2 linked regions of the Arabidopsis thaliana genome follow. The protein of the gene in region 2 interacts with the protein of the main gene of each other region in a pairwise test. Each region holds a gene or a part of one and is shown on either strand. Other genes may lie near its edges.

Region 1 (7,950 bases), on a different chromosome or scaffold from region 2:
TCTTTGTTTACGTTATTTTTTTCTTTGTTTTACGTTAATTTTTGTAATTCGGACAATTTTTGCTTTGGATATACCCAAAAAAATAAAAAAATAAACGTTGTTGTTCTTTGCTTCATTTATCAGCAATTTTTAGAAATCGATTGGGTTTATTTTTCTTTTTTCATCAGTATCTTGTCATTACTATTTATAAACGCTTTATGTCTCATGTGACAATGTTTTGGAGGATTATGACTTATTAACAGTCGATCGATTTATCGAATTTAGTGTTATATATTAAAATATTAATTATTCAAAAAAATTGGATCAGTTATGTTTCAAAATAGCGTTAGATTACATGGCTCTATGCCAAAGTTGGGATTTTATTTTTGTTTGTAGTTTTTTTAAGTGGGGAAAAGATAAGAAGGTTAGAAGGAATATATTCATTTCGGAGAAGAAATCCCAAAGCACCATCACAAAAAGATGCTTGAAGTTCAAGCAACTGTGGCCTCTATTTTTTTATAAGCCGACTTACTTTATTGTCACTAATTTCATTTCTTTCTTTCTTTAAGCTCTTAGTTTGCTTCAACAACAATTAGCTAAAAGTTAAACATTAGCTTTACTTGGTTTAACTAAAAACAAAAACTTTGGTTTCTTTTTTTCAAAGCAAAATACAATTTAGCTTAAAATCATTATTGAAAACATTAATAAAGAAAGATGAGAACTTAAATGATTTTAGGGCGGATGATTTGCTAATGCTAATATGCATCATATCACTATGAATCAATTTTGTAGATAATAGTGATGATGATTGTGAAAACACAAATATCGTGATAATATAAGTAGGAATAATATATGTGTGTATCTATACTCAAAAAGTGGTAAGAAAAAATAAAAAGTCTAGTAAACTATGTAAATGTGGCTGGCCAAGTTTATACGGTTGGCATCTATCGCGGGAGTTGTATTTTCATTTTTTAATATTGTTGGCGCAATAAGAATCTATCTTTATTCATCAAAGAGGAGAAGAATCGATTCCAATTCTCATGCAATTTGAACTTTGATTTAATATTTAAATTCAAAAGTTATAACCATTTTCTTATTTTATCTTGGTCAGAATTGTGTGCGGTAATTGATTAATTTAATTTATTGTACAAATAATTCGTTTCACAGCCAAGATTTTTAACATTTCTGGCAAAGAAAAACACTGTTTTTTTATTTATTCCAAGAAATTAATATCTGAAAAATGTGTTACCATGTATAGCTGCACAATCGTCAGTCCTACAAAAGCCAAAAAAGGTTATAGCCCCAGCAAGCTTTAACCAATAAATTAAAATGGAGAAAAGAAGAAAAACATATGGTAAAAATAAAAAGAATAAAAGAGCTTTAATAAGTAGAAGAAGAGGTCCCCAACGTTAACTCTATCTTTACACATTGATGCATAATTCTCCACATATTAATAGTCCGTGTTTATAATATGTATAACTTTAAAAAATTGTTCCATATTCTTATGTTAATTTTTTTGTTTTAATTCAATATTCATTGACTGGTATTGGTCTACATTTTAACATGTACATGCTTTCCCTTAATTAATACTTAATATATAACCTCTAATAAATTTCTGATTCAATTCAAATTTTATTCTTAGATAATATTCTCTCTTTTTTGTGTGTGCATATCAGCCTCAGCCATATTCATTGACTTATTCTTGTTCTATGTAAATATGCTATGGGACCTCCCACTCATATATATTTAGGTTGACCATTTATTTTACATGCATGCAATTGAATTTAGGGGTTAATCTAAATCGTTGCGTATATGAATTATATATGATTTTAGTTTGTATATTGAAAAATGCATCGTCGTTCTATACATAAGCTAGTTTAGTAGCTAATAGGGCAATATTAACAAAGTTGATTTTCTGGTTTGTAGTGTCCATACAAGTAATTTAGTTAATTATCTCGTTTGTTCACCTTTTTGTTTCTTTTTTCTTTTGCTAGCTAGTTAATTGCGGATGTAAACTACATCTTTTACTAATCGATGAATGGAAAACGTTTTTGTCGTAGACAAATATTCCACCGTACCTAACGGTTTTGGATTGCATGTATATAATAAATTTGTTCCAAAAATATACGGTCTATTAATTTATAACGAAGCTCATCATTGCTTAGAATTGTATATTCACCTCATAATTAGCCAAAAAGGTTTACCCTACCATAAATGATAAAATCCCTAGCCTTGTGGAATTTGTTTCGTTAAGATATTTGTATGTATGCCTCCAATTACGATATATGACGATGTAGACAAACTATAAGTCTAGTATACGACTCTCCTCGTGCGGTCTTAATTGAATAGAATACATAGAACTTTAATATATTCACTTTAAAAGTTTATATTTTCCTATAAAGAAAATATTTACAAATCTTTGATTACTATTTACTCCAAATCAAGCATGATTAAGAAAATAGTATATAGAACAATTGTATGATAAATTTGGATTTAAAAATTACTTCTAAATTATAAGGTAGTAAAGAAAAAGAAACCAAAAATATAAGAATAATAGATGTGCAATATCTTTGATTCAGGTGAATTATATTTTAACTTAGATATCTCAAGTCATTTTAATGTTTATATCAGGAAATAAAGAAATAAAAACCATCATGCAACAAATCATGCATATATATTAGATACATCCGTAACCGCTTTTTTTCGTCTTTTTTTTTTGTTTTTTTCGTCGTCACATCCATAACCGTTTTGATATGAGATCTCCGATGTTCAAAATTCAATTTCCCCCAAAGATATCAATTTAATATCTAATATATACTATTATTTTAAGTTTGCGCAGTAATTTAATAATCTGAGACAGACATGATTTACTTAATGTATACGTATAGTGGCTTTTACACACATTTTATATTGAAAGAAATTCAAAGGTATTCAAGCTAAGAGGATAAAAAACACAAATGAAAAAGATAGCGACAGTATCTTTTCACAAAGGAACGTCTGTGTACTAGTCTGAAACTTTAGTTCTCTTCCTTACTAACGATAAAACATATTTAACTAAACCATAATTTATTTACAAACAAAACAAAAAAGACGAGAGAGAGAAAAAAAAGCCGTCATCTGATCTCTTCAAAAACGCATCGTATTCTCTCACATTTTTGCATCACATTCGTTTCTTGAATCCCCTCTTTCAGAGAGAGAAAGAGAGTCAGAGAGAGAGAGAGAGAGAATGTTCCATGCTAAGAAACCTTCAAGTATGAATGGTTCATATGAGAACAGAGCTATGTGCGTTCAAGGCGATTCAGGCCTTGTCCTCACCACCGACCCTAAACCGCGTTTGCGTTGGACCGTCGAACTCCACGAGCGTTTTGTGGACGCCGTCGCTCAGCTCGGCGGCCCCGACAGTATGAACACACATACACAAATATATATTCAATCCATTTAACCAATTATAAATGTGTTTTTTCAAAGTTTTTGATCATTTCTATTTGCAGAAGCGACCCCAAAGACGATTATGAGAGTTATGGGTGTGAAGGGTCTTACTCTTTACCACCTAAAGAGCCATCTTCAGGTATGTACACAAATATAGATTAGGGTTTTTTTCTTCCTTGCTTTTAATTTTCTCTCCTCTTTATCTTTTCTATTCTTTTTTTCACTTAATAATATAATATAATAATCTAACAACTTATTTGGATCTATGGGTGCAGAAATTCAGGCTTGGAAAGCAGCCGCACAAGGAGTACGGAGATCACTCCACAAAGGAAGGTTCAAGAGGTGACCACTCTTCCTTTCTCTATCAAATTAGGGTTTTTATAAAAAAGTTACCCATAATATAGATATGTATTAATGTATATATATGTTCTTTGATCCGTCTTCTTCTAATTTTTTTTACCGTACGTGTAGCTTCTGCCATGGATATTCAGCGCAACGTAGCTTCTTCTTCTGGCATGATGAGTCGCAACATGAATGAGTAATATTTTAATCAGATTTCGTTAATTTTCTCAACTTTCATTTTAATATATATTACAGCAACTCACACCAGGTTGGTTTGATCAGGATGCAAATGGAAGTGCAGAGAAGGTTGCATGAACAGCTAGAGGTAATTAATTAACCTATAGATATTCTATGATAACTGCTTGTACAAAATCAATTTGTATCCCATAAATATAGTAAATGATTTCATTCAATTTTTATAGGTGCAAAGACATCTGCAACTGAGGATTGAAGCACAAGGAAAGTACATGCAATCTATCTTGGAGAGAGCTTGCCAAACCCTAGCCGGTGAGAACATGGCAGCCGCCACCGCAGCAGCCGCCGTCGGAGGAGGATACAAGGGTAATCTGGGAAGTTCGAGTCTTTCAGCAGCGGTGGGCCCACCTCCTCATCCTCTTAGTTTCCCGCCGTTTCAAGACCTAAACATCTATGGAAACACAACCGACCAAGTCCTCGACCATCACAACTTCCATCATCAAAACATAGAGAACCATTTCACGGGTAACAATGCTGCAGACACCAACATTTACTTGGGGAAGAAGCGACCTAATCCTAATTTTGGTAACGATGTAAGGAAAGGACTATTGATGTGGTCTGATCAAGATCACGATCTTTCCGCAAACCAATCGATCGATGATGAGCATAGAATTCAGATACAGATGGCTACACATGTCTCCACGGATTTGGATTCTTTGTCGGAGATCTACGAAAGGAAATCAGGTTTATCAGGTGATGAAGGGAATAATGGTGGGAAATTACTGGAAAGGCCATCGCCTAGGAGATCACCATTGAGTCCTATGATGAACCCTAATGGTGGATTAATACAAGGAAGAAACTCGCCATTTGGGTGATACAATTTATTAATTTTTATCTATGAGTGATGCATGGGAATGTAAGAACGAGATATATATGTTTTGTCATTGTGAGTTTGACGTAGGGTTTAGAGATGAGACAAAACAAAACAAAACAAAAAAAAATAAAAAATATATAAGCTTTGTTATGTTTACCGGATTAGTTTTGCTCGTGTTTTATAATCTGTACGGAAACTATATATTATTGCTGTTCTTATAATATTTTAGGATCTATATATTTTGTACTTATTCGTTACTTATTTCTTCTAGTCAACTGTTTGATGATTGATCTTTACATTGTTAGTCTCAGTAGAATTGCCGAATATATGTTTTGTTATTCTTTTATCACCCACATAAAATCTGTAGTTGCCTTTTATGGTTAACTAGCTATTTTCATATTCTATGTTTGATAGCTTTTTTTAATGGCAATTTCAAATAAATTAAGTTTAATTTCTTACATCCGCAATTTTATTTCATATGTACATACTTGTACGATTTTCATATTTGACAGTTTGCCAATTAGAGGCATATAAAATGTGAATGTACTAAAGTATATCTAGTACATGTATATGATAAATCAGTACATATGTATATTACCTTAACCAGTATATATATCCCATGCATGAACGTAACTGTATATATGACAAATAATAAACATTTATGTGTTAAGAGCTAGGTTGCTCATGTTTCAAGGCATGTACGATATTTTAAAGCTTTTGAAGGGCCCTTTGCTTTTTCATGAGTTAGTTATTTCTATCTCAAGTTAGTTTGTACTTGATGCCTTATATATGATTACGCTAAAATGGGATATCTGCATCGGGAAACTAAATTTTCAATCAAACTTAAAAATAAAGTTTATGGTAAAAAAAAATCATAAGTAAATACGAAAAAGAAAGGACAGCGCAAGTGATAATGATGATGATGATCCCCATCAAAGCAAAAGGTTTTTAGGGTTTTGGGAAAACCACATGCAAACACCAAGAAAAGCTGTAAACTTTGATTCAAATGTATATATAGTCACTTGATTTTGTAGGATACTACTATGTATATGTGTATGCAGTTGTACGCATATGTAAGTAAGTGTGTATGTAGAGATTGATAGCTACAAGATCCTTTTCAAAAGAAATAAAAGAACTTGTCATAAGAGAAATTAACCGACACTGAGTATCTATCTTTCCTTCCGTATATATCTTTGTTCTTTATTCTTTTATTTCTTTTCTGCTTCATATGACCACTAATTAGGACATATATTTATACAAAAGAAAATTATTACACTGATCATTCTTAATTGAATTTCAGGAGCTTAGTTATAGATCTTACAAACATCGGGAAAAAATGTTTGTAATTCAGAATTTTTGCTCTGCTATGATTTTTACTTACTCGATGCATCCATTTAGTCACAACTACAAATTACGGCTCATATATGTATATGTTTATATAAATTATTACTGATCAACTTTGTTGGGTTCAGAGAGAGAAAATATAAAGATCTGGTCATCACTGCAAGTTGGCAAGTAAAAGAGAAAGCTCTCTCAGTCTCTCTCACTCTCTCTAAAAGCTGAGGAAAACAAAAGGCAAAAAGAGAATTGAAGAAGAAGAAGGAGAAGCATAGAGATATTAACGCACTCCCATGTATGCACTTCTCGAGGAAGCTTCTCTTCTCCTTTTACATACGCCCCCACTAATTCCCTCTAATTACGTTCCTCGGTTTTTTTCCTTCTATTTAATTAATTGGATTTGAAGACAAAAAAGAGTAGACGACCATGTAATAATAATTAAAAACAAAAAAAAATAAATCAGATAAATTTCTTTTATTTATTTATTATTATAAAAATACTATATAAATTATAACTAAAAATAATTATTATTTGGGGATACATTTGAAATATCATATACTTTATCAATAAATTAGTTATGGTACAATAATCAATTTAATTGTGAAGATGCATTATATACAAAGTGGATCCGACGAAATGACGATGATGCATGTTTTGTGAATATTCATTTCACAATAAAATCACACCAACCACAAGTTAATTATTATAACTATTCGGTGCTTTTTAATATATATCCATCTGAACATCTCATTCTGTTACTTTTTTTTTTCGCATTCACATGCATAAACGTGCATGTGATCGTAGCTTTACTTGTATATCATAATTTTAAATAGGCTAATAGTAAAGCTAATGTTTGTACACATATCATATGGTAATTATTATGGTTGTTAAGCAAACTAAAGTACTTATAATAAACAAATAAAGTAATAAAGGTAACGGTCTTGGATGGTCTATGCACATTCTTCCATACAAATCCTCTGTAGGCACCTCATTACGATCTCGACCTTGGATTCCATTTTCTACTCCCTTACTTCTTCTGTTTTCCAAAAAAAAAAAAAAAAGAAGAAGAAGAAGATAATATACTTCTTTTTGATATTCTATATTTTTCAAAATGATACTTTATTTTTGGTATGTGTTGATGTAGAATGCTCTCTTAACAAAGTACATTCCCGAAGCATCTATTTTTCTTGTCCCTTCTTTCTCTACTGTCGTCATTTTTCCATTACTTCTAAGTTCTAACCTATTTTGAGTATTTTCCAAAAAATTCAAATAACTATTCATATATTTTTATTACGGAAAGAAAAATAAATCATTAGATTTGTTACATTAAAAAAAAAAAAAAAGAATAGAGAAGAAAAGCCCATTTGCATCAGTTTCTTGTTTACGCTGAAGAATCAGACTGGGCTTCCATATAATGCCCACTAAGATAAGTCCAATAAGAATGTTATATATCCTCCCTAGTACGAAAAAGGAAAATCCCTAGTTGAGAATCATCAATCCGATTGGCGGTAATGACGATTCTGGTTTCGTGTTGTGACCATTTCCGATCTTGAGAATTAATCGTAGACTTTTAGTAACCAAGTTAACCTTAGAAATTGTTTGACTGGTTGCTCATATCACTAAATTTCCGCATATAGGGTTTTATTCAGAAATTTATGGAGAAAAATTAGAGTACTCATGTCGTGGGTTCTGATTTGACTCTCTTGTACCAGGAATAATATGGGTATCATTAAGGGAAATCTGAGGCCTTAGTTAGTTTGTATGATTTTTTTTTGCTTGATTTAATTTCAGGA
Region 2 (8,669 bases):
TCTCTTGATTTCGAGAGTTTCTTCTGCATTAACTTCGTTGGAATCTAGGGTTTTGATGATAGAACCTCTGAGTATGGTAGCATTTTTTGTGCTCCTGAGATTTAACAGAACTAATTTGGTTTCAATTGTATTAAAGTATCGTTTTTTTTTTTTTTTGACGTTTTGTTTGATTTGACCTTTTGACAGGGGTTTCTGGTGGTACGGCTTCTGGTAAGACCACGGTCTGTGACATGATAATCCAGCAACTTCATGACCATCGTGTCGTTTTAGTTAATCAGGTTTGATTCTATTGCTTCAATCTTGTTCTCAATGTCCCACTTTATTCTGTATGAGATTCACATCTTATAATGTTTGATATCTTTTGTTGATTAGGATTCCTTTTATCGTGGTTTGACATCTGAGGAGTTGCAGCGTGTGCAAGAGTATAACTTTGATCATCCTGGTAAACTAACTTAATCGTTTTTCTTGAATTTTCTTCTCACTGCTTGCTTGTATTTTGGTTTTAAGTACACTGCGGTTCAGCTGACAGCAGCATTTGGTATTCTTTTGCAGATGCGTTTGACACTGAGCAGCTTTTGCATTGTGCTGAGACTCTCAAGAGCGGGCAACCCTATCAAGTTCCAATCTATGACTTTAAGACTCATCAACGTAGATCTGATACTTTCCGCCAGGTGCTTACTCTTATGTCCAAGACCATTATTGTGGTTCTTGTGCTCATGTGATTTGAATCTCTTATTTATGTGTTCCTATTTTAACTTAATGGGCATATTAGCATATATTCATTCCCTTTAAACTTAATATCTGTTGGGAGCCTCTGTCAGGTCAATGCTTCTGATGTAATAATATTGGAAGGGATTCTAGTTTTCCATGACTCACGAGTTCGGAATCTGATGAATATGAAGATCTTTGTTGATACAGGTATCAACCGCTATGCCTTTTTGTTTCCCCAAAACATGCATATGTCTTGCGCTACTCATCCTTTTTCACTCTTTGGATAACCTTATTAGTTTTGTATACCTGGAAATGATATTTTGTAATCAAAGTTGTCTATCTCCTTGGAATCTTTTTCACTTCTCTCTAGTCCTCAACATAAGCTATTAAATGGTTTCAGATGCTGATGTAAGGCTTGCTCGCAGAATTAGGCGTGACACAGTTGAGAGGGGTAGGGATGTCAATTCTGTGCTTGAACAGGTCAGTCCTCTTTTCGATTTATGCTGTAGGATTTGTAAGCATAGGTTCATCTAACCTAGTTAGGTAGCTTTATTTTGTGTGTGTATATGAGACATGAGTAAATACATGGAAATTCTGCTCTAGGGAACATCTCATTGTGTCTCTTCTCTGGTTTCTTCTTCCTTTTCTGCTTCCTACTGTTGTTTTTTTACTAGATAACTCTATATGTTCTTATTCCATCCTTTGAGATGCTCCTCTGTAAAACATCTCTTTTATCTTCTGAGCTTCCCATGTGCCTAATTTGTTTTCTGAGGATGTTATGTTCGTTTACAGTATGCAAAGTTTGTGAAGCCGGCATTTGATGACTTCGTGCTCCCTTCAAAGAAATATGCTGACGTGATCATTCCTCGAGGAGGTGATAATCACGTTGCAGTCGATTTGATTACGCAACATATCCACACAAAACTTGGGCAGCATGATCTCTGCAAAATCTACCCAAATGTTTATGTTATCCAGTCAACATTTCAGGTATTTTCTCACTCTTGCTCTCTTTGATACTTGATTTAGATGGTAAGTGTTATCGATGGTCTCACTATAGGATCATGATTGCAGATAAGAGGCATGCATACACTTATTCGGGAAAAGGACATATCAAAGCATGACTTTGTGTTTTATTCAGATAGACTCATTCGTCTGGTATATCTCTCCCTTATGTCTTCTCTTTCAACGTCACTCACTTTTCAGGCTTTCTTATTTTAACTAATATCAGTTCAATTTCAGGTCGTGGAGCATGGTCTTGGTCATTTGCCATTCACTGAGAAACAAGTAGTTACTCCAACAGGTATGAGAAGAGAATGCATGAGCTGTAACAATACTGTATACACTTTTTTATATAACTTGGTCATCAGATGTCCGTCTCCTTCACGTCAATCTAGTTAGAGTTAGCTTATTCAACTCATTTAAACTTATCTTTTCCACACCAGGAGCTGTATATACCGGTGTTGATTTCTGCAAGAAACTTTGTGGGGTCTCAATTATTAGAAGGTGAGCCTTTGAAAGGTATTGTATTTGGTTAAGTTTGATATGATAAGATGCTTATTCTTCCAACTGTTTTACATCATGCAAGGCATAAATTTACTTGTTTGCGATTAAATTATCTCTCCTACGTGGTTTCTGTTTTGTATGTTTTTCCTAGTGGTGAAAGCATGGAAAATGCATTACGCGCTTGCTGCAAAGGAATTAAAATAGGGAAGATTCTCATCCACCGTGATGGCGATAATGGAAAACAGGTCTTCCTATTAATATTTTGCTCTGTTTTTAAAAGTATCAAGTATAATCTCTTTTTATAAACACGAATTTTGAAGTTTCTCTTGTCGTGATAATCAGCTTATTTATGAGAAGCTTCCTCACGACATATCTGAACGCCATGTCCTGCTTCTAGATCCTGTCTTAGCCACAGGTACTCTGTCTCTCTACGCTGTATATTTCGATTTTGGTCCTTTTTGATGGATTTTTGGTTCTCGAAATTCATATCTCGTGATATTGCTTCTTCTTGAAGGTAACTCGGCTAATCAAGCCATTGAACTACTCATACAGAAAGGTGTTCCTGAAGCTCACATTATATTCCTCAACCTTATATCGGTGAGTGTAAAAAGCTATATATCGATCTTTCGCTCTTTTGTGAATGTAGAAGCTAAAGATCTCATTATGTATCTGCTTCTCTATCTCTTTGCTTCTCTCTTTCCCTCGTCATGACCTTGCTTTCTGACAGGCGCCGGAGGGAATCCACTGTGTCTGCAAACGTTTTCCAGCATTGAAAATTGTGACGTCTGAAATAGACCAATGTCTGAACCAAGAATTCAGAGTTATACCGGGCTTAGGCGAGTTTGGCGATCGTTACTTCGGCACCGACGAGGAAGACCAGTAGCCACCACTCAACACTGTGACTGGTTTCAAAGGAAAAGCCTAAATTTATGACTAGAGCGACAGTAGAGGCACTTGCATGTCTTTGTAGTTTGTGCTAAAGAATCTTTATCTTATTGTTTATGAAGCTCCTCTTGCTTACTTGAATTATTTTTGAAAAACTACGTTAATTTTCTCATTAAAAAAATGATCGGGACAATGCTAGTTTTCTAAACCGGTGGAAAAAGACATAACCAATCCTTTTATACATGATTTTGACAATCGTACGAAAATTCCAGTTCTCTCTAATTTTAATTTCTTTATTTACATGTTGATTAATATATATTTACCATTTTTCTTAAGGATCTTAGGGTTTAGGGATTATGACCTAAACCTAATGATAGAATTTAACCTTAGTTGGACCCACGAATGATGGGCCTAAGTTAAGCCCAACTATAAATTAATGTAGCGTAACCGCCACACGCTCATCTATAAATACACCACTCCTATGCAAGACCTATAGTTTTATTTCAGTCGACTCTTGACCTTCAATTTCCTCCGTCTCTAAATTTCCTTTTCTTTTGGCTCTCTCTGCGATCGAGTTCGAAACCGTTCCCTAATCGAAGATCTAGATTCAACATACGTTTTATCTCTCAGGTTTGCTTCTTCTTCGACTACGTTTTCTCCGCGATTATGATGATGCCTTCTTCTTCCTGCTTTCACTTTGGGTTGCGTTTCTTCATCTCCTCGATTCGCGATCCTCCTATTCGCATCGATACCCAGAGATCTAGGGTTTCCACCGATATGGATATGGATAAATCTTAGGGTTTCACCGATAAGGATTATGGATTCGAGTTTCTCTTCTATGTACATTGTCGGAGCTACATCTTCTCTTCTTGTTGTTAGTGTTAGGGTTTTGAATAGGTTTTAGGTGATGAATTATAGGTTTAGAGTTCTGAATTAGAGATTTATTTGGTTTTTTCTGTGGACGTGGTGCTCTATGATACCTGGATTGAATTTGGGGTTACAGACAGAAGAATGTGTTGCTTTTGATTCTCTAGCGATTGGGGAATTCAGAAACTCCTTGCTTCTGGACTTGTTACCCTTGTGAAAATTTATGTATGGGTCATCAGTCATCATGGATGAAGCAAACAGTTATCGACTCTGTGGTTCAGTCTTCTAAAGTTGGTGTTTTCTCAATGTTTAGTATGGATTACAAGGCGCCAAGGAAATACTCACACGGAAGGAATTTTGGAGTTGCGAGACAGCAAGATTTTGCAGCAGATATAGTTACGAGAAGACCTTATGCCCCGTATGACAATGGTATGAAGAAAGGTCCTAATAAGTTGTCAAGGAATCTGGTTTGGACGTCAAAAGAGTACAAATCACCAGAGGGAAACAGGCCAAGGCAGAATGCAGCCAATGGGTCAGCGAAACCACAAGTTATAGGCACAGGACATCGTGTATCAAACCAGCCGAGGAAGAATGCTGTGTATGGGCCAAGGAGCTCTTCTCTTTCAGACACCAGAGGTTGTGGGCCGAGACTCAATGGCAGTCCCAAAAAGAGTGTGTGTAATTTTTGGAAAGATGGAAACTGCAAAAAGGGCGAGAAATGCCAGTTCTTACACTCTTGGTCTTGTTTTCCTGGACTGGCCATGGTAGCTGCTCTTGAAGGACACAAGAATGATATTAAGGGAATCGCCCTTCCTCAGGGTTCAGATAAACTCTTTTCAGTCAGTGGTGATGGTACATTGCTAATTTGGGACTGCAATTCTGGTCAGTGTGTTCGATCCATCAACCTCCAGGCAGAAGCAGGGTCTCTAATTAGTGAAGGACCATGGGTTTTCCTTGGCTTGCCAAACGCTGTAAAGGTTAGTTTAAGGCGTCTCTTAACACAAATATTCTTCTGTTATCTAAATTCTGTTCGTTAAACTCAGTTGATTCTGGTGTTAAAGTTTTTGTTTATCAATTTTGCAGGCTTTTAACGTTCAAAACAGTAAAGATGTGCATCTTGAAGGGGTGGTTGGTCAGGTGCATGCAATGACTGCTGCAAACGGAATGCTTTTTGCTGGAACAAGTGTAAGCATTTTTAACTTAACTCTCTATCTTCTCTATACATGTGTTAGGTTCTCTGCTTCTTTGTTGGATCTATACTAATAAGTTTCTTTTGTCTTTTTTGGAATTGCAGTCTGGTAGTATATTAGTCTGGAAAGCTACAGACTCGGAGTCTGATCCATTCAAATACTTGACATCTCTCGAGGGACATCATAGTGGTGAAGTCACTTGTTTTGTTGTTGGAGGTGAAGTGCTATACTCTGGTTCTGTCGATAAAACAATAAAGGTAAGATATGGCTGCTACTAAATACAAAATGATTTCATCTTTAATCTTATTTTGAATGCATTCTAATAACTTCTGTTTGCTGTGGTTCTAGGTGTGGGATCTCAACACCTTGCAATGTAGAATGACCCTGAAGCAACATATCGGCACTGTCACTTCACTCTTATGTTGGGACAAGTGTCTGATATCGTCTTCCTTGGATGGGACCATAAAACTTTGGGCTTGTTCTGAAAATGAAAGTTTGAAAGTTGTTCAAACTCGCAAACAAGAACTGAGTGTTCATACTCTCTGTGGAATGCACGATGCAGAGGCCAAACCGATCATGTTTTGCTCTTACCAAAATGGAGCAGTTGGCATTTTCGACCTACCATCTTTTGAAGAAAGAGGAAAGATGTTCTCTACGCAGACGATCTGCACACTTACAATTGGTCCTGGAGGATTGTTATTCAGTGGAGACAAGAGTGGGAACTTGCGTGTATGGAGCTTAGCTTCTGGCACCAAAGTTTAGTCGTTTTAACAATTTTCGACTATTGATTTTCATTTAATTTGTACATATACATTGGTGGTTGATTCTAAATCCTTGCATTAATGTAATAACTTTTAATGTTGCCAAGATAAAAGAAAGTAATATTTTCATATCCGTTCTCTCATAGAAAGATGTTTATTTAACACAATTCCTTAAAAGATTTGTGAACTCCATGGAAGCTTCAAAGTTTTGTTCTGTATTCAAATTTCTTATTCTTCTTCTTTTGAAACTGAAAACGTGGGGAAAAAAAAGGAGATTTACAAGTAGAAAACACAAATCTACCAAATGGTATAATTTGTTTTTGGTCTTGAAGGAAGAATGCAAGCAAAACTGGACAGAATATATATCAACTAAGAATGTGGAAAGACACACGAATCACACAAACCAAATAATAGTGAACGCTCTTTGCATTTTGGCTTATTCATCTAGCTTTTCCACTTTTGTGTTTATCCAAGTGAGGAAATGCTTGTAGAATGTTATAAGCCCTGAGATCTTGCCTTGTTAAGATCCCTATCACAGGTGACATCTGCAACAACACAAGACACACGTTTAGTAGTGTTCTTGAATCTTGAATCAAGAGAGTAAAAAAGCAAACTTACCCCTGAAGCTTGAATCTTGGGAACCACCAGTAAATGTCTGAGACCCACTGACCGGAACAGAACCAAAGCTTTAGCCACTGACATACTTTGCACCACTGTGTAAGGTGTAGTGTTGGTCAAAGGATGAAGATCAACATACAATTGCATCTCTGAGCTTGTGATTGCAACATCATCGAAGTTATCTTCTCTCTCAGCTAATTCAACCGGTGTGAACTTTTCCCTAACTTCCCACTCTTCTGTTCTCCTTTTCTCATTCAAGAACCATCTCTTTTTCAGAACTTTCACAAGGTGAGCTCTTAGGATCAGACCATGGAGCTCTGTGCCAGTGTTTTGATCTGCTCCATCCAAGACTGGGAATGCGTTATGCGTTGTGTTCCTTAGTACATCGACTATATTTGCCACTTTTTCTACTCCGTTAAGTGTTACAACCGGAGGCTTAGCGTCGTTAAGCTCACCTACAGTGAGATTCCTCATCCACGGCTCTGGATTTGCTTCCAAGAAAGGTAAGCCCTTAAGATGGAGAATGATCTCGTAGATACTTAGATTGAAGCTGTCACCTACTGTTTTAGCTATCAGAAGCACAAACATTGTAATGGGCAACAAAAGAAGGTTGTTGGTGAGTTCCAGAAATATAACACAGAGTGAAACAGTCATTCTCATTGAACCAGCCATGAGTGAAGCTGCACCAAGAACCGCGTAAAGCCCTTGATCTATGTTTGTGTAAGACCCCATTGCTGTGCCTAGCATCCTACCGTATGCAGAACCCATGAGGATAATCGGTAGGAAGAGACCCGACGGTGTCGCTATACCGAATGTTATAAGACCCAAAATGCAGTAGAGGCCAAAGAATATCCAGAGAGAAACCATGCCAAACTCATTAGGAGTGTTTGAAGAGAAAATGTTTCTGACTGCATCATCATTGGTTGTGAGAAGCAGAGTGGATAGATCGTTGTAATAACCATTTGGACAGTTGAATTGCTTGAAATTTCCTGATCTTCCGTTTGTTGGACATATCTCGTCTATAGAAGGATCACAAGGCTTGCATTCCGCTAAGAAAGGAAGACCGAACAAGCAAACTGATGTGAATAGAGATACCCCAAGACTTAGAAGCACCTTATGAATCTTTCCCTTCCTACACCAAAATTTACCAAACAATGTTAAGTAAAAAGAAATCTTTAAGACTCTTGAACGTTCATAAACACTTACTGGTTGATGAGATTGTAAAGCCGGAGAACTTTATGCAGAAGATGATTGTACAAGCTTCCAAGAATGCCACCAAAGACTCCAATCAATGTGACTGGGATTATATCTGCTGCGTGGTACCTAACCTCTACATGACTCACATCGAACATAATGAGTCCTCCTGAGCCGAAAAGTCCGCATTTCCCGGAGTTACAAATCTCAATGAACGCTCTTAATACAACCACCACAACGGCTGTACTGAAGAATGTTCTCCACAAGAGAGCGCTTCTCCACCACGTAGCGACTTCCTCAAGAGCGAAAAGTACTCCTCCTACTGGTGACCTGAAAGCAGCACATACTCCAGAGGCAGATCCACATGTAATAAGATCTCTTCGATCTCTATCGTTGTTGAAGTAACGAAGCCATCTCCATTTGATTCTGTGATTATCTGGACCACCTTGACCAAGCAAAGAAGCTATGCAACTTCCAATATGAACCAATGGCCCTTCTTTACCAAGATCAAGTCCAGCTGCAACCGCTCCAATACTTCCAACAATCTAATCGGAAAAAAACCGCAAAATCCATCAGTAAAACAAAAGATCTCACACTAACTTTGTGGGAAGCTTCAAACTTTGTGAAGGTTTAAGAAACAAACCTTAACCATCATGGTGGTAAAACCAAACATATTGGGAGTGTCAATGCCATTAAGGTAAGCTTTAATCTCAGGGATCCCCGGACCAGCCGCCGTAGGAGCAAAGTAAACAACAAGTACTGTCGCCACCAAAGTCAGACCCAAATTCGCCCCCGTAAAGACCATCAGACCTGTCCAAAACCTATTTCAAAAACATAAACTTGTCATACAAGGTATCTCAATTTCTTGATCTTGACTGTTTTGTTTTTCAAGATTTGGCTGATGAGTCAATACCTATCTTGAGCAATGTAGTAGCCGACG

Evidence for each region. The genes of interacting proteins can lie anywhere in the genome.
Region 1: the proteins of AT5G40880 (region 2) and APL interact in a two-hybrid assay, tested with the Arabidopsis thaliana proteins (one large-scale study listed by BioGRID).

What each region holds. Positions count from the first base shown.
Region 1 is NC_003070.9:29,874,391-29,882,340, reverse strand, and holds APL (Homeodomain-like superfamily protein), read left to right. Parts: upstream 1-3,061; 5' UTR 3,062-3,205; coding exon 3,206-3,380; exon of another isoform or gene 3,381-3,470; coding exon 3,471-3,547; intron 3,548-3,683; coding exon 3,684-3,750; intron 3,751-3,879; coding exon 3,880-3,946; intron 3,947-4,032; coding exon 4,033-4,075; intron 4,076-4,172; coding exon 4,173-4,820; 3' UTR 4,821-5,113; downstream 5,114-7,950. UniProt on the Arabidopsis thaliana protein: Transcription factor required for phloem identity. Has a dual role both in promoting phloem differentiation and in repressing xylem differentiation during vascular development. Regulates the expression of the transcription factor NAC045 (AC A4VCM0).
Region 2 is NC_003076.8:16,375,288-16,383,956, forward strand, and holds AT5G40880 (WD-40 repeat family protein / zfwd3 protein (ZFWD3)), read left to right. Parts: upstream 1-3,605; 5' UTR 3,606-4,193; coding exon 4,194-4,943; intron 4,944-5,049; coding exon 5,050-5,151; intron 5,152-5,260; coding exon 5,261-5,413; intron 5,414-5,504; coding exon 5,505-5,918; 3' UTR 5,919-6,065; downstream 6,066-8,669. Other genes in the region: UK/UPRT1 (uridine kinase/uracil phosphoribosyltransferase 1), read left to right, coding at 187-278, 373-442, 553-671, 822-918, 1,112-1,191, 1,504-1,698, 1,783-1,866, 1,951-2,011 and 5 more; CLC-A (chloride channel A), read right to left, coding at 6,358-6,462, 6,536-7,667, 7,742-8,274, 8,373-8,550, 8,643-8,669.